Linked DNA regions of Daphnia pulex. The protein of the gene in region 2 interacts with the protein of the main gene of each other region in a pairwise test. Links are inferred from orthologs where the notes say so. Each region holds a gene or a part of one and is shown on either strand. Other genes may lie near its edges.

The links. The genes of interacting proteins can lie anywhere in the genome.
Region 1: the proteins of E3 ubiquitin-protein ligase NRDP1-like (region 2) and iron-sulfur cluster assembly 2 homolog, mitochondrial-like interact in binary tests that used the Homo sapiens proteins (3 or more experiments, as listed by UniProt). The link is inferred for Daphnia pulex from reciprocal best matches to the Homo sapiens genes RNF41 and ISCA2.
Region 3: the proteins of E3 ubiquitin-protein ligase NRDP1-like (region 2) and homer protein homolog 2-like interact in binary tests that used the Homo sapiens proteins (3 or more experiments, as listed by UniProt). The link is inferred for Daphnia pulex from reciprocal best matches to the Homo sapiens genes RNF41 and HOMER2.

Annotation. Positions count from the first base shown.
Region 1 is NC_060017.1:2,841,368-2,848,547, reverse strand, and holds iron-sulfur cluster assembly 2 homolog, mitochondrial-like, read left to right. Parts: upstream 1-4,311; 5' UTR 4,312-4,366; coding exon 4,367-4,620; intron 4,621-4,679; coding exon 4,680-4,854; 3' UTR 4,855-4,967; downstream 4,968-7,180. Other genes in the region: dihydrolipoyllysine-residue succinyltransferase component of 2-oxoglutarate dehydrogenase complex, mitochondrial-like, read right to left, coding at 1,881-2,015, 2,103-2,354, 2,422-2,620, 2,682-2,851, 2,915-3,150, 3,217-3,378, 3,582-3,653, 3,717-3,840 and 1 more; RNA-binding protein 25-like, read right to left, coding at 4,975-5,070, 5,136-5,282, 5,348-5,493, 5,558-5,677, 5,748-6,060, 6,126-6,276, 6,346-6,512, 7,006-7,180. UniProt on the Homo sapiens protein: Involved in the maturation of mitochondrial 4Fe-4S proteins functioning late in the iron-sulfur cluster assembly pathway. May be involved in the binding of an intermediate of Fe/S cluster assembly.
Region 2 is NC_060021.1:11,013,082-11,021,208, reverse strand, and holds E3 ubiquitin-protein ligase NRDP1-like, read right to left. Parts: upstream 4,337-8,127; 5' UTR 4,285-4,336; coding exon 4,195-4,284; intron 4,105-4,194; coding exon 3,962-4,104; intron 3,892-3,961; coding exon 3,735-3,891; intron 3,669-3,734; coding exon 3,381-3,668; intron 3,322-3,380; coding exon 3,046-3,321; 3' UTR 2,615-3,045; downstream 1-2,614. Other genes in the region: uncharacterized protein LOC124194673, read left to right, coding at 1-674. UniProt on the Homo sapiens protein: Acts as E3 ubiquitin-protein ligase and regulates the degradation of target proteins. Polyubiquitinates MYD88. Negatively regulates MYD88-dependent production of pro-inflammatory cytokines.
Region 3 is NC_060018.1:4,116,101-4,124,840, reverse strand, and holds the start of homer protein homolog 2-like, read right to left. Parts: upstream 4,514-8,740; 5' UTR 4,338-4,513; coding exon 4,333-4,337; intron 1-4,332. Other genes in the region: vesicle transport through interaction with t-SNAREs homolog 1B-like, read right to left, coding at 4,659-5,121, 5,209-5,432; uncharacterized protein LOC124189006, read right to left, coding at 5,710-6,210, 6,499-6,658, 6,826-7,196, 7,359-7,483, 7,651-7,896, 8,104-8,281. UniProt on the Homo sapiens protein: Postsynaptic density scaffolding protein. Binds and cross-links cytoplasmic regions of GRM1, GRM5, ITPR1, DNM3, RYR1, RYR2, SHANK1 and SHANK3.

The DNA of each region.
Region 1 (7,180 bases), on a different chromosome or scaffold from region 2:
ATGTGACAAACAAGAAAAGTCAAAAGTTAACCTGATTTTACGTCAATTTAGCCGAGTGATACTCCAACTCATTCAATTCGTGGCTCAAATTGCTTCGACAACTTGGAAATATTCACACAGGAATCAAAGGCAAGAAGAGAAAGGAAAGAAAAGACTCACTTACCTTTTTGATGCCACGTGCTGACGAGCCATTTTCCAGGGTGTCTCGACGAAGCAGCCTCCCAGCATTTCTTTGCAAATCATGGGAGAATTCGATTCGTCTGAGGCGTGCAGTGAAGTCGAACGCCATTTTCGTTTGATTTTGAAACGAACAAGACGAAACAAGTTATAATAAAACACAAAAATGTAAGCTCTTTCGTCACGAGTTTTTCTCGACACACACTTTAGGATGGGCACAGTTTCTTTCCCATATTCATAACATGGCAGTGCATGCTGCAGAATAATTGTATTGTGGGTTTCGTTTGTTGGTCACAAAAGTGGCCAAACATGTGGCAAGTCTGGTGCGGGGAATAAAAACATACGTTACAGAAGATCGCACTCATTATTGCAGCAATGGCCACACGATGTGAACAACTGTGATGAATAATCGTTGTTGTCAGTTTTCAGCATAAAGGTAACCTAAATATTCAGTGTCTTTTATTTTTCCACATTAGAGAAAAATTGTATCATTATCATCTTTTTACTCTTTAAGGATTTTTTTTTATTCAAATGCTTTCACCAAGAAAACTTTAAATTAATCCTAGGACGATCCAATTCCAAATCTGACTGTTCACACCCCCCTTCTCTCTTGTGTCTGAATTAGATGACGCTGTCCCACAACTTTGTGAGGTTTCGTGTTAATCCAAAGTTTCCCTTTTTCCTTGATTATTAATTTATACAATTTTTTTCCTCGGCAGGTTCAAACTCCACATTACGTACATTTTAGGCAATTAACTCATTGAAGACACCGTGCGAGAGGTGTCGAGAAAAAAAGCCGGGCCAACTGTGAAACCGAGTGTCGTGACGATATAACCTTTTTTTTTTCCTTTATACAACTCTCAAAAGACCCAAAAGTTTTTCCCGACATTTTTTTCCCCTTTCGTCGTCAGAAAAGCCAGGCAAGATTATTACATACTTTAGAGAAAAAAAAAGAAGAGCGCCACACTGAAAGTTCTTGGCACTGATGGATAGTTCAGGAGTTAGGAATATGGTAGCTATTGCGCAATATTAAACGTATGTAATACATGCCGGACTTGATGATGTCACGAACGTATAAGCGTCTGAATACTTTATAAGTTCCTTGCTTCCTTTGCCAACTGCTCTTCCCTAGAAACCACCATCGCAACGAAATATCAACGTTCTCGTGACCAATACAAGCGATCAATGATCATTCTAAATCAAACTGACTGATAATAACTTCCAAGCAAGAGAAATCGAATGCAACCGCCAATCCGCTAATTCTAGGATGCATTAATATTTCAAGTTTCTAAGAATCGTCAGAAATGGTTAAGTTGTCTTTAATCCTTACTAAAAGGATCAGGAGCACACGGATTTTGTGATGATTCAAACAGAAATAGTGTATTTTCATACGTGATTCGTCTTTCACTGCCACCTAGGGGTAGAAAACGAAATAAAGAAGATTTTCATACGTGATTCGTCTTTCACTGCCACCTAGGGGTAGAAAACGAAATAAAGAAGAATAAAGAAAAAAGACCGAAAACAGACGAACGCAGTTCAGTGTGTTTAAGGGAACACTCGATTCTTTTTATTTTTTTATTATTATTTATAACTCTCATGTTTCCTTCTAGATTCGTAGAATGCAACTGAATCGGGAACTTTAAACTAGTGCTTCCTATAAATGATTCGCAATATATAAAGTCCCTTTCTATGAAAAGCTTATCTTAGATTGATAAGAGCAGAGTACGGGGGTCTTCGATTGTCTGCTTGATTTTGCGCAAGAAAGTCACAGCTTCCCTGCCGTCGATAAGCCGATGGTCGTAAGTCAAAGCTACGAACATCATGGGACGAATAACCACCTAAAGAAATCAATTTAAATATAATAACAACTCGTGATTGATATCTGTTTTGATGAGTCGTTAGTTATTAATTTTAGTCTATCGTACCTGGCCATTGCGTGCGACGGGACGATCAAAAATTCCATGCATGCCCAAAATAGCAGATTGCGGAGGGTTGATGATTGGGGTACCGAATAATGAGCCGAAGACTCCACCGTTGGAGATGGTAAAAGTACCTCCATCCATATCTTCTACAGCCAATGCGTTGTTCTTTGCCTTCTCACCCATTGCGGCAATAGCCTTTTCAATGTCAGCATAGTTCATAGAATCTAGATTACGTAGAACAGGCACCACCAAACCCTTCAAATTTAAAACAAAAAAATTTATTAATAATTTAACTCTTAATGCTAAACTGTAGCAGAATTACTTTTGGTGTGGCAACCGCCACAGATATGTCGATGTAATCGCGATAGACGATTTCATTTCCGTCGATGACGGCATTGACAGTAGGTTGATCAGCAAGGGCGCAAGCCGCGGCCTTGACGAAAGCTGACATGAAACCCAACTTGATTTTGTGAACTTTCAAGAAGGCGTCACCGTGTGTTTTTCTCAGCTCCATGATGTTGCTGTGAATTTAAACGAAATACGTTAATCCACCTATGGCATCAAGAGACAATGGCATACTACCTCATATCAATTTCGTTAAAAGTTGTCAACATAGCGTTGACATTTTGGGCTTCCTTCAGCCGCTGAGCAATACGCAGTCGCATGCGGTTCATTTTAACGCGTTGTTCGGTTCTTGTGCCAGTAATTTCCTTGCTATAATCTGCAGGTGGAAGACGGGCTAGGGGAACAGCCTAGAGATAAGAAAAAATTAAGAAAAAGGTTAAAATGATGGGGGAATGACATTTAATTCGTACTTGGGACGTCTGCGTAACGTTAACAGGAGCAGCAACCCGAGGTTGGATGCTTGCTGCTGGGATGGCAGAAATAGGGGTTGTTGGAGGGGATGGGCGAGGAGGAGGTGTTGATGGGATCGCACCAGAAACAGGTTGGGCGGCAGGGGTAGGCGGTGGAGGAGCAGGAGCAGCTGGTGAAGGTGTTGGAGGAGCAGCAGCAGCAGCAGCAGCGGGAGCAGCAGCTTTGGCAGCACCTCCTAGATTAAGAAACGGTTTAAATTTATTTTAAAAATGTAGAAATTTTCTGGTAGCATAATAGTTACCTGCACTCATAATAAAGAGTTTAGCTCCGGGTTGAACAGTAGCACCATCACTAACGCACAACTCAGTAATGACCCCACTGCAAGGGGCTTTAACCGGGATCGATGTTTTGTCCGTTTCAATATGGCATACTTCTTCATCTTCTTGGACTGTATCACCAACAGCTAAAGAAAACAAAAACATTCTATGAAAAACACCATAAGATCCACAGGTGCAAGTCTATCAAGTTGAAAAAAAAGGACGCAAAATGATTTGAAATCTTTGACTTGAAAATACTGAAATTAAGCTTCAAGATTGACATTTTCACTCAAAGATCATTTCTGTGCTACTAATACAGTTGTACCAATACTCTCTGGAAGAAGCATACCTTTATCCCATCTTACATCACCCTCACTGATGGAGTCTGCAAATGGTGGTACCATCACAGTTTTCGCATCTCCTAAAAAAAGTATTTTTTTATTATTATGACTATTTATTGCCATTTGGAACTAGTGAATTTCACCTAGTACTGCAGAAGTTCTGAATCCTCGACTGAAAACTGTGATTGGATTCCATTGGCACCTCACATCATTTCGCTGTTGGATGGACAGGTAGCTAGGCTCTTGAATACCAATTTCACATGTTTCCTGAGATAAAAAACAAATAAGAAGAAATATCATTAAATTAATTGTAAGATGAAAGTAACCAACAGGATGTGGCAAAATCATCCAAGGTACAAGGAACTTCATTGACACATTTTTATTTTATTATTTACTCTTATATAAACATGTATAACCTGATGTTTGAAACAAGCCGAAACTCTGAAATTGCCACGAAATACTTTTGCAATTTGCTTCGAAGAGCCTAGGGAGAGACGTAGAGCAGCCATGATTTTTCTGTTCGACTTCGGCTGATCTTGATGTTAGTTGCGAATGAAATTTGACTTTGCTGGTTAACTTTAAAAACAATATAAAAACTCTCCTTCAAAATTTTAAATTAAAATTTTAGAATTAAAAACGTTATTTTATCTTCGTGTATGAATAAACCGGGAATTAAGAATTTTATGACGAGTTTTTCAAAATAAAAGTAAAATGCAACTGTGGTTGTGCTTTTTTTCGTCTGAATTCGTTTCGTTTTCGTATTGTTACGTGATATTTCTGCTAAACAATAACAATGTTTTATGCGGCATTAGTAAACCGGTTAACCAGATTCCCATCACATATTTCGGCATTCTCATCTTTAAACAATGCTGTTCAAATGGATACCGTACAAGGATCTATAAAGATGACGGATAAGTGCGTCCAACGATTGAAGGAACTGCATAAAAAATCCCCAGAGAAAACGCTTCGGATATCGGTAGAAGGAGGAGGATGTTCGGGATTTCAGTACTTGTTTAATTTGGACACCACGGCAAATGAAGATGACTGGTTTGTACTTAAAAACTAAACTAAATCAACATAATTTTTGACAGTTTTCATTAAAACAGTGTGGTTGAAAGAGATGGTGCGAGAGTCTTTATTGACAAAGATTCCATGCAATACCTTGAAGGAGCAACAATTGATTTCCAGTCTGAGTTGATCCGCTCTGCCTTCCACATATTGAAGAACCCCAAAGCTGAAAGTGGTTGTTCATGTGGTGCTTCATTTTCTCTCAAAGTTTGATTTAAAAATCTATTCAAAGCAGTGTTTTTGTCAAATTGCTGTGTAATTAGTTGTACATAATATGGGGTGAATGTAACAACAACCAATTGCAAAATAGAGACCCAATGCAATCACCCCTTTTCACTTAGTCATGAGACCCAATTTCTTTGCTTCTAATTCATAGATCAATAAGCGCCACATCTTGACAACAAAGACCTCTGCTTCTTCATCAAGTACCTAATAAAAATAAAATTGTTAAAATAGGAATTACATTTTAGAATTTATAGAAATTAAGACCTTACCATCTGAACATCATTGATGATATTTTGTGGTTGGCTTCCTATCAATACTTTGGAACAAATGAATTCAACTAGAGTAGGCTCGGGCTCTCCGATGTACTCCACGATCTTTTTATTGACCCACGGTTTAATCCGCCGCTCCATTATCACCTATGGAGAAAATAAAACAAGAATTTAAGTGGTTATTCGACAACGCGTACTTGTTCATTGTTTACATTGTCCACTAAGCTCCACTCAACAGGATGAGCAAAGAGGGATGCTTTATCCGTTGGAATTTTCTCGATAAGACTCTTGATATTTTTTCTCTTCTCCTCTGTGTTCTTGGGCTCTTTTTCCTTTTTAGCAAGTTCATCGCCATAGTCTATTGGAAAAGAAATTAATTAAAACAGAAATGTTACGGAAAAGAAAATATCTGATTATGTTACCAAGAGGTACAAGTTTCCGTTTCTTCTTGGTCGTGTCTGTATCGTCTTCATCAGCATTGAAAACGGCTTTGATTTCCAGCTTTTTCCGCTTATTGAATACTAAACTGGGTCCCTGTGATCCTGTAATACAGAAAGAGAAACAATTAGTTATACATATGTTGGTTGGGCAATCGATGGCCAATTATCGTACCTTGTTTGCTGTCACTTTCAGTTGGAAGAGGACTTAAGGAATTCGTTGTTGACATGGAATCCTCTTCCATGGCAATGACACTGCTCGCAACACTAGAGCTAATTGTTTTAGGTTCTGGTCCGGTTGGAGTGGATGGAGCTGATGAGACGGGCGTGGTGGAATTGACATCTTTCGTCAACTGGAAATCTTCCACGTCCGATGGTTGTGATGGTAGAGACACGTCCATGGGAGAGAAAGAGCGGGGAGCATCACTAACAGGAGGTGCTGGCACGAGTATCTGAGGCTTGTACTGTTGTTCCCTTTCGTAAAGAGCCTAGGAAAATTCAGAAGAGGTTTTACATCATACATTCGTGAAACTTTGAGCTTTCCCTCTCTTACCTGTTTAAGAGTTGCTGTTGGATCTGAGTGGCCCTCAGAGAAAATTTTCGTCTTGAGTTCCTCGAGCTCTTCCTTCTCCTTTTGACGGTCACGTGTGTCTGATTCCGTTTCTCTCTCACGCTCTGTTCGCCGGCGCTCCATTTCACGGCCTCTGCGCAATTCCAAGAAAGAAACATTAGGCTGATTCAATAAAGAAAATGAGATGGAGGACAAAATTTACTTATAGTATTTTGCATCATCTCTTTCGTCGTCATAGTCTTCAAGGAACTGTTTGAGCCAAACGGCTTGTTTCTGTTGTTCTTCAATCCTTTCCTTTTCCTTGAGCTCGAGTTTGTCGTAATCACGGAGCTTCTTCCGTTCTCGGCTCTCCCAGTGACGCAACCGTTCCTGTTGAATCCACCCAAAAGGAAATGATAAAAAAACAAAAACCAGCCACAAGAGAAATCAATTCCAACTTGGCATTATCACTGGAAATCCTTAAATCAAGAACGGAGGGACCTCACAACTATTGCCTCTTCTTATACTTTACGGTCACGGCACACGAGATCACAAGATAGAAAACAGGAAGGCAAAAAGAGCGCAATGGATTGATTAAACCGAGTTTTTTTTGTCCAGTCTGGGTACTTGCGTGAGTAAAGAAACGCACGACAGCATAGCATCCCAAACGGTGAACAAGAAAAGGTTACGATGGTCATTCCAGACTAATCCACTCCAATGGAAACTATCAAAGTTATGATCAACGTATTCCCAGCCCTCTTTTTGTTGTTGTTATGCTGTTCTGGGCAATACACACGCGTCACGGCAGGTCGGGATCGATAGTGCAGACCAATCCGCTAAGGACCACTTGGACGACCGCCAAATGCAAGGTGAAATCTTTTACCTGATAAGCAACTTCTTTTTCTCGTGCCTTCTTCTCTGCTTTCTTCCTCTCCAGAGCTTCTTCTTCTTCTTCCTTCTCCCTTAAATAATCTTTTTCTGTTCGACGTGGCGGGCGAGCCTCCACTTCGGTTCGGTCTCGAGATCTACTTCTTCGGGGCGGTGTGCTTGGCTGAGCC
Region 2 (8,127 bases):
AAGCTCTGACGCGCAGCCTGTCGCTGTCGCAGTACCTCTCGGCCGTCGAATATTCCTCCTCGTCCGTCGACTTGTCGGCCGACAGCGAGGCCATTTCGCCCATCTCTATGGCCGCTCCGCTTTTGCTTCCGGGCGGCCCCCATCCGGCCGCCTTCGGCTGTGAGATTTGCGGCCAGATTTTCGACCAGCACGACCGGCTGGTCAAACATTTGACGTCGCGGCACAAGTTGCCCGTCCAACTGCAAAGGACTTCAGCCCTGCTCAACGGTGGCACCACCAGTGGCGCCACGACCCCAACCATTTCATCGTCGGCTGCAGCAGCAGCAGCAGCTGGACCCGTCCCCTCGGCCGATTCCGGCGTGGTCGTCAAGGGCTACCAGTGCGAAGTGTGTCAGCGGCCGTTTGCCCGCAGCGACATGTTGACTCGCCACATGCGGCTGCACACGGGTCTCAAGCCGTACACTTGCCGCATCTGCGGCCAGGTGTTTTCACGCTCCGATCACCTCAGCACCCACCAGCGGACGCACACGGGCGAGAAGCCCTACCGCTGCCCGCAGTGCTCCTACGCCGCCTGCCGACGCGACATGATTACCAGGCACCTCAGGACGCACACCCGCAGCGAAGACTTGGACTTGGGCCATGTCTCCGATCCACGGTGCAAAGATTCCGGATAAAAAAGAAAAATTCCGGAATGACATCCCCCCCCCGTTTTTAATAATCTGTCATTGATTGGGTGTTTTTTTTTAATTATTATTTATGTGTGTGTCTTTGCTACACATCTCGTTTGTTCTACTCGTTTCTTTTTGGCCCCTCCCACCAATAGAGAGGGTGGGGGGAATCCGGAATGGATTGCGTATGGCTAAATTCCCAATTCACATTGCGGTTGTGTGTCTAAACAAAGGCAAGAAAGATGGCGATGATGTTGTTGTTCCGTGAAAAAGATTTCATATTTGGTTTTCCTAATTCTCTTCCGAATGGAGGATTGAATAGGAAAGCGCATTCATCCGCAATTTCTTGCGGTGGAGCTTCCGTTTTCTCCATCGACAACAGCAACCAACTCTCCCAATTTGCTCCATTCCAATTCGTTGACTCGATGACCTGAGTATCTCTCTCTGTGTGTGTGTGTGTGACTTCGTCTTTCCATTTATAACCTCCACTGTTGTTGCTCTCACCATCCGCTGGTCGTGTCTTATTATGTCGCCATTTCGATTATTTGACCTTCTTCCCTCGTTTCCACTCCGCACAGACTCACGCAGTGAGTACACACACACCACACGTATTTTGATTTTCCACCTCTAATTAGCGAGTTGGATGTATTGAAAAAAAAGACAAAAAAAAAAGAGTCCCATCGACTGATTGTATCATGCTATGTATAAATTACCTGAGACTGTGTTCAAAAATTGTCACCACAGAGCCGACGACAACAACAACAACCATTTCTCCTGCTCCTCAACCCGTTTCTTTTGGTTTTTGTTGTCCTCCCAGCGTGTGTGCTGGTTGCGCGGGTCTGTGGACAAGTCGTGTCGTGATTACCCACATTATCTTTCTCTCCCTCTCTCTCTCGTGTTCGTGCTCGCGCGAGCGAGATTGAGCTCACTGGCCGTCATTATGGAGCGACGACGACGTCTTGCTGCGCTTCTTTCCTCTCCCGACCCCGCCCAATTTGAGACGAAGAATTATTGAGGTTAAAGCGACAAGGAGAAGAACAAACAAATGTGTGCTGCAGTTGCGCAGTGTGGGCTTTTTTTGATTATTTGATTTTCTTTTTTTTTTGTTCAAAACCGAACGGACCTCACAGATCAGATCCGATTGTCAGCAGATTCGGGATCGTCGGTTACCCCCCATTTTTTCCCTTCATTCTGAAACTCGCTCACCCCCCTTACAAACTTTAATTGCCGTTTGATTCACCCCCCATCTTTTATTTTCTCTCTCTCTCTCTCTAAATAGATATACAGAAGATTTTATATATTATATTATCGATTCTATTACGTCGAAACAAAAGCCAATCATTTGTCTTTTATTTTCCATGCGTGTGTGTGTGTTTCAGATTCCAGAAGCTCAGTACAAGAATTGTATATACATGTTCGCACAGACACAACAAACACAATGTAGTTTTTCTTTGACGTTTGATTTCGATCCAACCACTTTATTATTACGTCTCTCTCTCTCTCTCTATCTCTCTCTGGCTCATCGATTTTGTCCTTAATTGTGAATAACTTGTTTTGAAATCATCTCTTTAGCTTCCCGTATCATGTTGTTTCACTACCCGCCGATCCTTCCCCTCCGCCATTCGAATGGAGACGAAAACAAAGTTTCGAAAAAGAAAGAAAATCAACTTCATTAAAAAAGAGGAAGTGTTTTTGAGTGATGTGATTAAATACTCGGATGAGCATGGCTATGTGATGTAGTGCGATTACATCTCCAAAAAATCCACCCCCAACCCTCAACCCATTTCCACACTTTGAAAAAAACAAAAATGTTACATAACATGTGTGACGATGATGTGATTATAACTGAAAAGAGAGAAGAAGTAAACCCGGTTTGAAAAAGATAATAACAGAAAAATAATCGACGAAAAGATAAAAAAAAAATACACACAAACACACACTGTCTATACCATACGATTGACTTCTCAGTTATTGTTTTATTATTTATTATTCCGCAGCATCGGCGGAATATACTATCATTATTTGCACATAAAAGTTGATGATGAAAGAAAACAAGATTTTTGCCATCATTAATCAAGTATCGAACATTTACAACCGCCGAAGAGCGGGGACACCAATTGAGAAACATTTCAAATAAAAACCTACACCTAGCCCCCAAACTGAGCACGATTCAATGAAAGTAACTGATGACGATAAACAATTCGAAAAAAGATAAATCAGATTCTTTTAAGTAAGTTGAGAGGACTGCTGCTTCTGAACTAAAGGACAAAAGGGACAAATTCATTAGTGTCAGCTCGCTGGAGTGGTCCAGCCGGTCGCGAGGACACTGAAGACAAACATGTTGTTGGATTAATAATCTGACAAGAATTCCGGGGTGTCACTCTACACCGTGAGCAAAAATCATGATGAGACCCGGTTCCAATATCATATCTGGATTCATATGTCCGTTGTCGCAGGCCATGACGGCCACGGCTTGTTTGCCCGGAATCCTCCGGCAGACATAGTTCTCGTATTGACGCCGGTTCAGCTGGCGGATTTCCAACGACGACAATCCCGTCGGCCACCGCCGTTCGTGGGCGTTTTCCATCAGATCCTGGATGATGTGCGGTGGGCAACCCGATTCGGAAAGGGCTCTCTTGATCATTGCCTGCAACTTTAAAAGGTTATCGTATTTGATTGAATGTATTGAGCTCGCCAACTGTAGGATATTACCTGTAGCACCGTGTCCGGAGTCGAGATCATGCCACCCCAGCGCAGGACTCTCGCCTTGGGTAGAGTTTCGGCCCAGCGTCTCACTTCGTCGGCTTCCATCTGATCTGCCAGAATCCGCAGCGAAGGATTGGCGTTCCGCATGGCTAGCATGTAGTCCTTCAGCAGCTGCAGTTCTCGTTTCTGTTCGCTCATCTGAAATTTGCCCTCGGCTACTTCCGCCTGCACCTCAACTAGTTTCGATTGCTGGGCCTGCATCAACGAGCGCAGCTCTCGCACGCAGTTGTGTTCCTGGAAATGCAATCAACATAAATAAGGTACTATTTAAAGTTGTAACCTGTAAAACAACCCACTTACTTTCAACTCGTCTTTTGGCACAACTAGCCCACAGCCGAGCTCACATGGCACCGGTCTCTTTGGATTGAACTCACATTCTTGTACATGAGACTCCAGGGCATCTAGTTTCAATATTGCAGTGCACCCATAAACAGAGTTATCACAAGTGAGCTGTAGTCTAGAAAAATAATAGAGAAATGGTACAATTTCATACTGATAATAAGGTTTCAAACTTCCAAACCACCAACCTGTATAGTAGGTTCCGAAGTATTCTGGGAACAGGTCTCAGCTGAGGAGGGGTTATGTTTTGTCTGTCGACAGGACAAGTTGGCTGTCTCGAGAGCCACTCGTGAATGCAAGCAGAGCAAAATGCATGCTCACAGTTGGGTGCCTGAAATTACAAGTCTATTAAATCCATCACATTCCCTCTGGGGAAATTTTATTGCTACTCTCGCTTTTGGAAGCGAACTGTCATTATTACCTGTAACGGATTTTCGAGCACTGAACTACAAATTGGACACAACAATTCTTCATCAACTTCTCCTTGAAATCGATTTATTTCAATTCCCATTTTTCTTGGTTAACAAAACGGCCAAGAAAACTTTGACCTAATTAAGTAAACACACCTGCTTCTCAGTAAGAGTTCGCGTTTCTTTCTTTTTTAATAAAGGGGGAACAGAATTGACGTACCTAAATAAATGCAACAACAAGGTGTTGCAGAGCCATCGGGCGGTAGAAAAATTAAACCGTAAAACGCAGTCTGACGGTTAGGGAACGAAGTTTACATATGGAAGTGCCAACGTCACTTCTTTTCATTTCAAACCAATCCTTCAAATGCTGAACATGTAAGTTGATCAACACGTGGTTATTCTGGGTTTTCTAATTTTTTAGTTTCTCATTTAAGTTTTGAAAACGTAGTTGTAGGATATGGTTAACGCTCTTAACACAGTAATTAGCCTGAACATTTTTAATATCTATATGTGTATTGCTTTGGTAAGGTTGAAGTCTAATAAAACCGACTTTCTCTAAGAAGTATATTATAGAGAAAGAAGCCTCAGGTTGGTCTGGGGTTTCTTTGGTTAAAATGGACAAGTTTGATAATAAGTAGTTTTAAGTGAAATTCCATGTTCAGTCTGAAATCAATGTTGCAGTAACGGTCATGAGGCGAATGAAATTTCCTCTTGTCTAGTAACTAACTTGTCAATTTAAGTTGTTAATTTGCCTCATGTAGGAACAGGTTTGATTATATCTCTTAATCTGTTCATTTTAGGTTGATATCTTCAATGCCAGGAGGGATGATGGCAGATGAGTGCAAGGATCGGAAACAATTTTTGAAGGGCTGTGAGACAAATCATGCATTTAGGCTACATTGGTGCCTTGAAGACGACTAGTTTGGAAGGTAAAAACGAATTCCTATTGTATATGGGTAAATAGTCCTGATGACCCTAGGATTACAATGAAATTTAGTGTACCTAAATTAATATTTTGATTAAATCTCTATCGCAATATTCTGAAGTGTAGACCAAAGCAGTATCACACTGAAATGGTTTGTAGATTTTCATGATCAATTATGTCTAGATTGATTTCTGACCTCACTTGGTTTTGCACCGGTTGGTTGTAACCTATCTTCCAGAATTCGCTGATTTGAATGTAATCGAGGAATAAAGGTTGGTTTTCTTATCATATATGTAAAATATGCTGTTGGATTTTGCTGATGACACTCTTAGGACACCTAAATATGTACCCTGATTACTAAATGTGCTGAAAGTATCGAGTGACTTGTCGTCATTTTGGTCTAGTCCTCGCCTTAACGTTATATCGTTTTTACAGAGAAGATTCCATGCCAAGACATTTCGTGGAGGATGGATGTCGACTGTTACGGCTATGGAGCCAATGGAGGAGGTATAGTTATTTTTACATTTGCATTTGAGCCTCAGAGTCACCGGTTTAACGCACATGTAGTATTCCGGTGCTAGAGGATCTCATAAATTAAACGTCTAACCACTTATGCTCGATCTGTATTTATTGCAGAGGTTGATCACCTCGGTTTGAGACAATTTGTTTTGACTTTACAGGAAGATTTAACATTTTAATGGTGTTTATTTTTATTTTTTTGCAGGCAGTGGGTGTGCATTACACTAGATGAGATACAATCATGAAGGTGTTTGCGATTCTTAGGTAAATGGACAGTTTTAATGGTTTCTTTTGGATTTTTGTGATGAACAACAGTTTCCTGTGTTTCTGACAACCATGAAGACCCACTCGAGTCCCTGATAATTCAGGCTTTTTAATATCATTTAATCGGCTGTAAACAAATATTGACGATTTGTTTGGTTCGTTTATTCAGATTGTCTTGTTTAACAACCGCCGTCGATTGTTGAGCTACTGGGCCAAAAACTGGAGTTTCATTTTCTTTCGTTTCGAGATGCTGGTGATTTCATGATCTACGTAGTGAGTAGAGAGAATTACTTGTAATGTTTAACGTAAATTGAAATGATGAGAACGCTTAAAAGCATTTTCCGAGTTCCATGATGATTCATTCTGCCTTCCTTTTGATCTTTAACTGAGTTGACGATATCAGCGATACAAACTGATGTTATAGATTTATTTTTTTCTGTAGGTAATGTGGTATTGCTTCTTGGTCAACGTCATTGGAATCCGAGGAGTTCATTTTACACAAGGTAAATTTTTTTTAATGCGAGACTCGGCAAACAGGTTTGTTTAAGGAGACAATTGTACGCCAGGTTTCTTATTGTCCTGTTTGCAACATTAAAGCGAGTCCCTGAGGCCTTTCTTGCTTTGTTTTTTTTTTAAGCAAGGGGTTGGGCAACCGGACAAATTCATGAAAATAACTTGTGTTTTTTGTGTGTTCAGATGGACTGGTTTATTGTTCGGTGTTTTTTTTTTTTGGCGCCATCTTCATAGGATATTAGGTAATAGCTCAATATGTTAACGAATTAAACGTAAATATCATGATGAACAATTGTTTCCTGTGTTTCTGACAATTATATGAAGACTCACTCGAGTCCCTGATAGATTATTTATCTTAATCTGCATTTGAGCTACTGCTTTCTGCACCTTAACGATGATTTTATTTTGTCGTCTTTTTAGGTTGCTCGGTCGGTTGTCTTGGAGTACTTGGCGAGCATGTTATTGGGTATGTTGTGTTGTTTGTTGGTTAAATTTTTCTTATCTAATTTAATAATTTGGTATATCTAGGTCTGACTACGGTCTATTGGATTGTTGGAGATTTTGTTTATATACGTTTTCTTGATAAATCCCTGTTGTCGAGGTAAGAATGGTTCGATTATTGCGATCTTGGGCAAATGATATTTTGTAAAGAAATTGCTGAACACCAGATTTCTTTTTGTTCAGTTTGCAACATTAAAGCGAGTCCCTGAGGCCTTTCTTGCTTTGTTTTCTTAAAGCAAGGGGTTGGGCAACCGGATAAATTTCAATATTATCATTTGATTTTCTTTAATAGGGATATATGCGGTGAGACGCTGGATCTAATAGTGTCGGCTTAAGGAGTCCTGAGGTAATAGAGAGATTGATGTCAAACCTTCATTGTAAATTTTGTGATGACAAATGTTTCCTGTGTTTCTGATAACTATGAAGACCCACTCGAGTCCCTGATAGTAGATAGACATGTTGGTGTAAAGAGATTAGTTTTCTCCTAACGTTATTCCATATTTTAGGTGTGTTAATTTTCGATCCGTTGCTTAACGTCTGTGGGATGGTATGGAGCTATGAAACTTGCACAAGGTAATTTGAGTTCATATCACTTTAAATTGTTACCAGTCTGATGAAAACGAGTTACCGTTTGACCTTAATGAAACCATTAATATTGGCTGTATAAAATCTGAATGTCTACGCTTAGACATTTACTTTATGTTTTATAAATCATTCTAAAACTTTTTTTTTGTCATTCAGTTTGTCGCAGTTTTGAAGGTCTTTGGATTTGGAGCGAAGTTTATTGTAAAGTTCCGATACAGCAGTATGGACGAAAATGTTACTGGGAAATTAGTGTCATTATGGGAGAAATTAGTAACAATAGATAGACTTATGATCTGTGTTTGATTCTGTTTCCTTTTCCAATTGCATAATACAACATGATCACTATGTGTGTATAATCTGCCTGCTTATTTGATTATTTCATTTCTAAAACTGCTGTTCTAACAAGATGCTTGAGTTGGTTGTAACCTATAAACTCAAGTTTAAAGCTAACTTAGGCTGTTATGCACCTAAATTTTCTAATGGTACATGTGATATTCATTTAATTATATGCCCAGTCTCTGTCAGATTGGGTTGTGTGGAAAGGATTTTTCACCTCCACCATCGTTTATGATTGACTTTACATTTGCTGTTGCCTTGTAGTATGTAGCCTAATAGAATGCTACAATGAATAGGAACA
Region 3 (8,740 bases), on a different chromosome or scaffold from region 2:
GATGGACGGGGTCGTTGGGCTGCTGTTGGTTAGAACGGAGAAGGATCGGGGGCCATACAGACTGCGTACACTGGAGCAGGCCGCAAATAACTTGATATCACGAAAGGACCTTCCAGCGTCACTGAATAGAAACAGTTGGGAAGAAAACGTAGCGCGCGCGAGAGAGAGAGGGTGCGCCGAGCGGATCGATATGTCATTTCTCTATTGGATTACAATTGGGCTGGCTGGCGGCCTAGTCTTTGAGCCAAGTCCAACTGGATAAAATTAACGAGCCGCATGGAAACTTCAGGGCGTCAAAGAACTCATTATTGTTTACGCTAGAATCAATATGGCGCACTCTTCGCAACGGAATGCATTCCAGCGATGGCGCAGGCCCACATAAATAAATGAACGAGGAGCAAAAAGTATACGCGTATAAGGATTCAGAACCAACATTCTTGTCCAGCTCAGTTGCCCGCTCTTGCAACGACGATCAGGTCGGGCGGATAAAGGCCAGGGCTTCGTAAAATCACGTAAAATATTGTTTGAAGCAACTTTTCTTCAAGTAAGCCGGCAGACTAAACGGCGAACAGCTCACAAAAACCCCAACATTCCAAGCGTTAAAAATGCAGAGCGTCACGAGATTTCTTCGGAAATGTCACGTACACAATTTCTATCATGGCATTTCGGGCAATATGCGGGGGGAGAAAAAAGTCAATTAATGCGGAACCCACGGAGGGAGAGATAATGAGCCATCCCAGTAAGATAACACGAACGCTGATAATTTGAATTCGTGAAACGGGCGGAAACGGGATGGATCCGACGCACTTACAAGCCAGCCACTACCAAATGTAACAGTTTCAAACTCATTAGGGGTGAGGTGGAATGCATTCGACGAGTAGAGGCGTGGCGCGATGGGATAAGGAAAAAAGTAAACTGTGACCACCACGACTACTATACACCCAGACAAACTTGTGATTAAAGCAAAACGATTCGTACGCATCGTGTGTGTGTGATGAAGGGCCACACAACTCAATCACTTTTGGCGCCTTGATTATGACGTGCGGTTGGGAGTGGGGGGCCATAATCAGCCAACCCCTCCTCCTGCTTACCCACCGTTCTCCCTGAGCTCTGTTCTCTGGGCAAACAGTTCCAACCGACCAAAAGTGAGATAGAGATAGAGAGAGAGAGAGAGAAGCAACGAATCAATACCTCTCGACACGAAAAGGAAGCTAGAGAAACCAACAAAACAACCTTGCTGTTGCTGGTTTTGATCCATTCTACCTATCCAGAGAAATTCTATTCACACACACAGGGATTAGAGTGGGAGAGATACACTTCAATATAGGCTGGGACGGTAGACGCAAACTGGATACTAGTCTATATAACATACTTATATGAGCGCGATAAATATTCACTGAAAATGACACATCCTGCAGAGGCAATATGGCGTACATAATAACAGCGGGGGGCAATGAATTCTGAAGGCGACAAAATAAAAATCTCGTAGCTGACATTGCCGGAATATAAAAGAGGTAGTCGCACGACATGGCAACGAACAAATACAAGAACGACGCCATTCGACTCCCCGGCTGTCTGTCCACAATGTAAAATGACGCTAGACGAAATAGAAGCGAAGAAAGAAAAATTCAACGTTATCCGTTATAATAATAATAATAAAAAAAGTGTCGTCATTCCTTCAAGGGGCTAGGACGACAGGCTCAACGTATACAATATAAATCGGATTGGGACCTAATACGATTTCTTGTTTCCCGCCAGTCCCTCACTATTTTCTCTCTGTGTAACTCGCAGATTCAAACGTCATCGAGACCAACTGTGGACATCAATCTGGCTTTCTACTTTCCTATCTTTTGGGGCTTAGTTTCGACCGTGTTCAATACACTCTTGTCAGGGGAAGTATGCAGCAGCTGTTGGTCTGACTTCCAGGAGGAGTTCCTCGGTGTGTTATCGAATCCATACGACGGCGATTGTTCGATAGACCATTGGGTGCGAGATCCATCGATACGAGATGAAGTCTAACAGGATTGAGCCTGATCGCAATCGAGTAGATAGGATCAAAGAAGCCGAATTCCAGTTGAACGATCAAGACACCATTACCTATCCATTCATGTAATGGGTTTACAGTTCACAGAACACAATAGAGTAAAAAAGAAAAAAAGAACAGGAGATCGTGCAAATAACCAAGGAAAATTCGTTGAACTAAAACAACTTTTTCTTCTGTTTGGTAATGTTGAGCTTCTATAGCTCTAGTTCATGTAGGATATCTGTAAATATTACTAGGTGACTTGTGAGGATAAATAGAGCACTGAGTAATAAAGTCATTAGCCGCTCGAAAATCCCGAGAGAGTCAGCGAGAGAAGAAACACGGAGAGAACGTCGCCTTGGTGAACGCAGCCCAATCATGGCAGGCACTCATTAGCCATCCATGGCAACCTCATAAAATCTTAGGATTAACAATAAGATTTCGGGAACTATAGATCGAATGGCGAGGACCTAAAGGCTTAAAGAGACACGTCTGATTGAGGTATCATCGAGATTCATCCTTAAGATTAGACAAGGGTTGTCGACGTGATTCCATCTTTTCACTGGCGCCTTGCAAATAGCTCGCCCTCTCCAAAAGAGACAGACACGACATGGCATCATATCCGGGAACTGCTTTCTTGGCCCTGACACAGGCGCACAACCAAGATGCAATCCCCCCCCCCCCCTAAACCTCGGCAACCGCTTCCTACGCCTTAAATATTTGAGCAAGCTGAAAGAATATTGAACTTAAGCCACAGTTTTTACGAATTCAACTAGTTCCCGACTGCGGAACAGATTGAAAAAATAAAGTTCCAATGGGATAGTCTCCGGGTCGAAATCCTCACACAAATTCGGGCGATTAGAGTTCAATGATAAGTGTACGGGTTATTCAGTCACGAAAAGAGTGTCGAAACGAAATTGCCGAATCGACAGATTTGTCGATACGGCATGCACAGTCACGCGTGCTAAATGGTGATGGAGTGTGCCACAACCGAGGAGGATGCCAAGTTACAGAAAGAAAAAAGGAAATGAAACATTAAAAGTTTCCGGCTAGATCTAGCAATCCCGTCATTGCGACTCTGGCACGCACACGTAAACACGGGCAAGTATACAAGCGATTTTTTTTCCCCATTGCAAACACACACACATACACAAAAACGGAAATAAACAAATACCCCCATCCCCTCGCAAACCAACTCTTATGGAAGATTGAATAAATATACTTTGATGCCATTCATTTTTGATGAGATGAGCCTGTTTTCAACCGATTGTTATCCGAAGGATGATTTTAGTTATTTTTTTTTCCCCTGCCTTTTTTTAAATTAATTTTTACTTTATTTTAAAGTAAAGGTGGGGCTTCTCAGACGGGTTTATATCTAGCGTCCAACCTAGGAGACGCCGGCGATAGAAGCCTCCAAAAGAAGCAGTGAAATGAAATGAAACTCGACACGCGATATCTTACGTTGTAGTGAGCAAACGAAAAAAAAGGAGAATACTGTAGGTACGGATGAAAGTTAACATGACGAGAATAGCATTAACTAATAAATACCATGAAAAATAAGGGAAAGGGTTCGAAGTAGCCATCTAGGAATTAGACACAGGACACGCAGCATCGATTTCTTACAACTGAATACACAAAGTCCACAAATTTCTATTTCCCATTATCATTGTTGAATGTTTGTGCTTTTGGAATTGTCTGAATGGGGCTTGCATGTTTCAAAGTAAATCAATATTGTGTGACTAAAATCCCACTAACAGTGGGCCTAGCATCCTAGCAATATCAAGAGTTTTCTGGCTGGATGAAATATTACTTTGATGTATCACCTAAAGCAACAATCTATTGCTTGAGTTGAGAATAACATTTCGCAACAATCCTTCTGGGCTGTAGCTAGAGGCACAAGTCATTCAGCTTCGAAGTTTAGCTCAATACAACTTTAGAATTTAGTACAGGTTGAAAACTTGGATGCAGCTTAGCTTATTAGTTTGAAAATATGAATGCTATATTTACAGCCAAGATATTAATAAAATCTTTTTTAACATTTGAATGACGGGACACTTCAGTGAGTCTGTGACTTCAATATTGATTTACACTTTAGCTTAATGGTATTTATACACCCTAATGGAAAATTCTTATTTGTCTAATTCCATAGTCCAAAATACAAATATTTGAAACATATACCCTTTTAATTACAGTAAATTTGAATTCAGACTTGACAGTGGTGCTCAGCATCCAGCTGTTGCTACGTGGATATATGGTACGAATCGATTTTTCATTTAAGACTATACAGAATCAATAAATGCACAACTTACCCCATTTTAACTGTCGATGTCGAAGCACGAACAACTTAGAAAAATCTCAGATTTCGTTGGCAAACGCAAAAACTTTAAATACACGTATAGCACGCCATGACACAGGAAGAGCTTCTGTCAAATGGAACTGAAAGCCAGAGGTTGGGTTCGTAACTCCGTCTGCGTACGAAGGCCGCTAGGAAATCCTTTGCGCACGCAAGGGGAAAAAAATACTGGTCGCTATGCGCATGATTATATTTTTGTATCGGCTTTTACACAAATTCAAGGCACTAACACTATTAGTTACATTTTTGATGAGGTATGTTAAGAATTTGAGGACAATAATTTCAAGAAAAAAATTTATAATAAACTAAACCTGTCAAAATGCATATCTCCAACAGAATGATGACAATTAGGACAAGCTTATTAGTCATAGCAACACGAGACATTGACTTAAGGATTCTTCTACTTCTTCCCAGCTCTGCATCCGTTTCAGTCAATCTATCTCTTGTACGAACAAGCACTTCTCTTTGTTGACTTAATTCTTGAATAACTCCAGTGCCAATCTCTTCACTTTCTAAAGCAACCTGAGTAGTTCTGTAGAGGCTCTGTGATGTTCTTTCCAGAACTGCAGTTCCTTGGCGAACAGTTGTTTGAAGAGCATTATCAATGCCCCGGTTTTGGCTAAATGCAGCAGTGGATTGGTTTTCCAACAGTTTTCCTCTTGATGAGGCCAGAGACATTTCTGATTGCTTGGAAGAATTGATCAATAGAGCAAGTTTGGAACAGGTGTCCTGATGTCTTCGTACTCTGAAGTTGGATGATAAAAAAAACATTAGTTGAAATTTTACTACATGTATTGTTTGCTGTGTAAACTTAAGACATTCACATTTTTACCTGCCAATCATGTCCATCCTAAAAGAGCCAGGAGCTGCTCTAGCTTCAGCTTCCATTTCAAATATTGCTTGTTTAGCTTCATCTAGTCCTCTTTCGACATCGGCAATAACTTGCTTTTTTTCTTCGCCAAAACATTGTTCTAGCTTACCGGAACACTTTCTTTGCAGAATTTCGAACAAAACTTGTACATCTTCATCCAGAGTTTCAAATTTCTCTGAGCTCATTTCTGTTTCTTGTAGCACAATTCTGAACCTATTTGAGCACTACATACGATACCTTGCTATCAGGACGAAGACAAGGAATGTATTGTAGACTTGACGTATAAAACACCATCTGACAAAACATTGAAGACAGCGCCACAAACGGCGAGAATTAGCATTTCCATGACATTTACATTTAATAGCTAATTATTAAGATAAATTAAACACATTTCAGCCTGCAGAAGGTTTATTCAGATGTCACAGAAAAAACGTCATACAGGCACAGGTTCAATGATGTCACTCATTCCTTCTTATTTTTCTTCCCCTTTGCTTTCTTGGCTTTCGATCCCTTATCAGCAGCTGATTCGGGAACAGAAGCTTCTTCTAATGGGATAGCTTCAACGGGAGCAGCAAGAACCTTTTCCAACGGCTTCACTTCCGGGACAGCAATCGGTGTTGGGGCAGGAACGACTGGTGGCGATTTTCCTTTTACAGGAGTAGCGACTGGTGTTACCACCTTAACTACAGGTTCAGGGATGGTAACGATTGGCGGAGATGGTTCCTTAGCTGGAGCTAGGGCAGTCTTCACCTCAACAACGGACGCGGGTGTTACATCCATCGGTTCTACTTGCAAATCCTTTGCAGCCGTCTTGGATTTCTTGCTTTTCTTTGTTTCTGGTGGTGTTGGCTTAGGGGTTTCAACAGGAGGAGGTTGAGTTGGTTTGACATCTTGGACCGGTGCTTGAACGGGCGCTTCTTCTTTCGGCTTTTCAACAGGTAAATTTGGTACGGGTACTACTGACTGTAGAATGGATATACAAATTAGAACTTGGACTATTTTCCAAATCAGATTCTCACTACGATGGACAACTCACCAAAAACATCTGTTGATTAGCTCAATAAACCATGCTGTGTGCGCTCACTCGCAGGCTAGGCAGCTACCTTCTTGGTAGCACTCGCCTGTACATGTTAAACAATGTGGCATGCATTAAGTTACGTTCACATGCGGTAATACAATTTTAACAATTCAAACAGAAATCAAACGAAAAACTATCTAAGACATACAAACATTCACAGAAAACAAAATTACCTCGCGCTTCTTCTCGAGCAAAGCAGTCTTGCTCTTCTTCCGGGCCTCAGCAACAGCAGCGGCAGACTTCTTAATCACGGCGGAGTACGGGTTCAACTTCATCAATGCTCTCATGTTGGTAAGAGGATTGCGCTTAACAGATGCACGACGGATCATCTTCCTGTAATTTAAATTGTATCGATTAGTCATCTTTGCACCAGACAGTATCACTTGAATGATAAACTGCGTTCAGATTAATTTGCTAATCACAAAGATTCATAACCCAATGCTCTAAATGTGGTTTTCATCATTAATTAATCAATAATAAAGATTAAAAAGAAAGCTTGCCTTGGTCGTCTGATAACCTTCTGGATTTCATCAGACTTCAACAAACGAGACAAATCTGTTCCGGTCATGATGGGCTGAGGCAAGTTGTAGTTGCTCTTCAGCTTAGACTTCTGACGCCAAGTACCGTAGAGGGCGTTCAAGCGTTGGAAAGCAGACTCGGTCCAGATGCAGAAACGGCCAACATGACCACCAGGAGCAAGCTTCATGAGGTTCAGTTTGTTTACTGAAATCATAGAAACTCCGGGGATGTTACGGAAAGCCTTGGTCAAACCCTGATCTCTGCCATAGATGACCAGTGGACCCAATTTGCTGGTACGGCGACGGTTGCGCATCTTACCCTTACCTGCGCGGAAACGCCTGGTCTTGTAAACCTGTAAGAAATCAGATTAATTAGACGGTGTTCACACATAAAATCATTCATGACTCAGATTTTGTTCAGAGCTCTAAGGTGAAATCATTTACTCATAAACACAGACCAAGAAGCAACTCATCATTTTCCCGTGATAATTATACATAAATATCTAGAAACAAACCTTCTGGACATCAGTCCATGCGCGAAGACGGCGCAACAACACGACGGCCTGTTTGGTTTTTTTGTATTCTTGAACCTTGTCCGACACAACCAAAGGCATCTCCGGGACATCATTGATCAAGTGACCTGAATGTAAAAACATTTTAGTTCTAATTCAATATGACCTTATTTACTACTATCATTGTATGGATCAGGGACTCATGGTATGACTTCATGCTTGTCAGAAACACAGGAAACACATATTCATCATGCTAGTATGGAACCGTGCAATGATGATCTTGGCTCATATTTACCTTTGGACATCACCAAAGACGGAATACCCGAAGCAGCGACGGCCGAGCACAATGCAAAACGTTTCTGGTTAACGTTGATCTTGCGATGCCAACGGCGCCAGATCTTGGTGGGGGCAAACATACGTCCACCACGACACATGTTACCATAGGCACCCTGACCGGAGCGATGGGTACCACCTCCTCGGACACGGGGAATACGAGCCACAGCACGACCAGTACCCCATGATTCAGCACTTGTCTGATGACCTGTAATAGGAAAGAAGAAGATTAACAATCACACCATTACATGTGTGTATGAAGTTTGTCCGGTTGCCCAACCCCTCACTTTAAGAAAACAAAGCGAGAAAGGCCTCAGGGACTCGCTTTAGTGTTGCACACTGCACAAGAAGAGTCTGACGTACAATTACTCCTACATTTCAATGCTGTGTGCCATATAATTGGCATACAAGTTACCTGCTTTCTCGCTGACACAATAAGGGTGACGACGATTCATTGACATTTGTTGTTGAACAAAGCTGACAATGTCTGGCCTAATGGGAGCCCTGAAGATTGCAGGGAGCTGGATGCTGGTTCCAGAGGCCTCAGCCTTCTCATTGTAAACGGTAATCAACGGCCTCGCGACCACCTTACTCTGTAAAACAAAATGGATAAACAAATTAGATTTAAGATTTTCAAGAGACAACACTTGAATTTACACAAACTTTGAACTAGATGTACCAATTAACCAAAACATAACAATAAACCAAGAACGACGTTGAATTAACATAGAAAAACAGCAAGAGCCCATTTGACACGAGGACGAAACCACGCTGTGGGTAACATTTTACTCCCAAACTTTCGCCATAGATTAACAAGAAAATGGCTTAGAAAAATATACGCACGCAAGAATTTTCTTAAAACACGTTTCTCCCGTTAACCTTTTTACTTACTATTCGTAAATTAATGTATGTAAAAACTAGTAAAATGTTTGGAGAACCTCATGCTTACCATCTTGGTAGATAGTCCTGACCGGGTAAAAAGGCGAATGAAAGAGACCCACAGTAATGGCGACAAAGAGGAAGTCTACAATGTTGCCGGCATACTTTGAGAA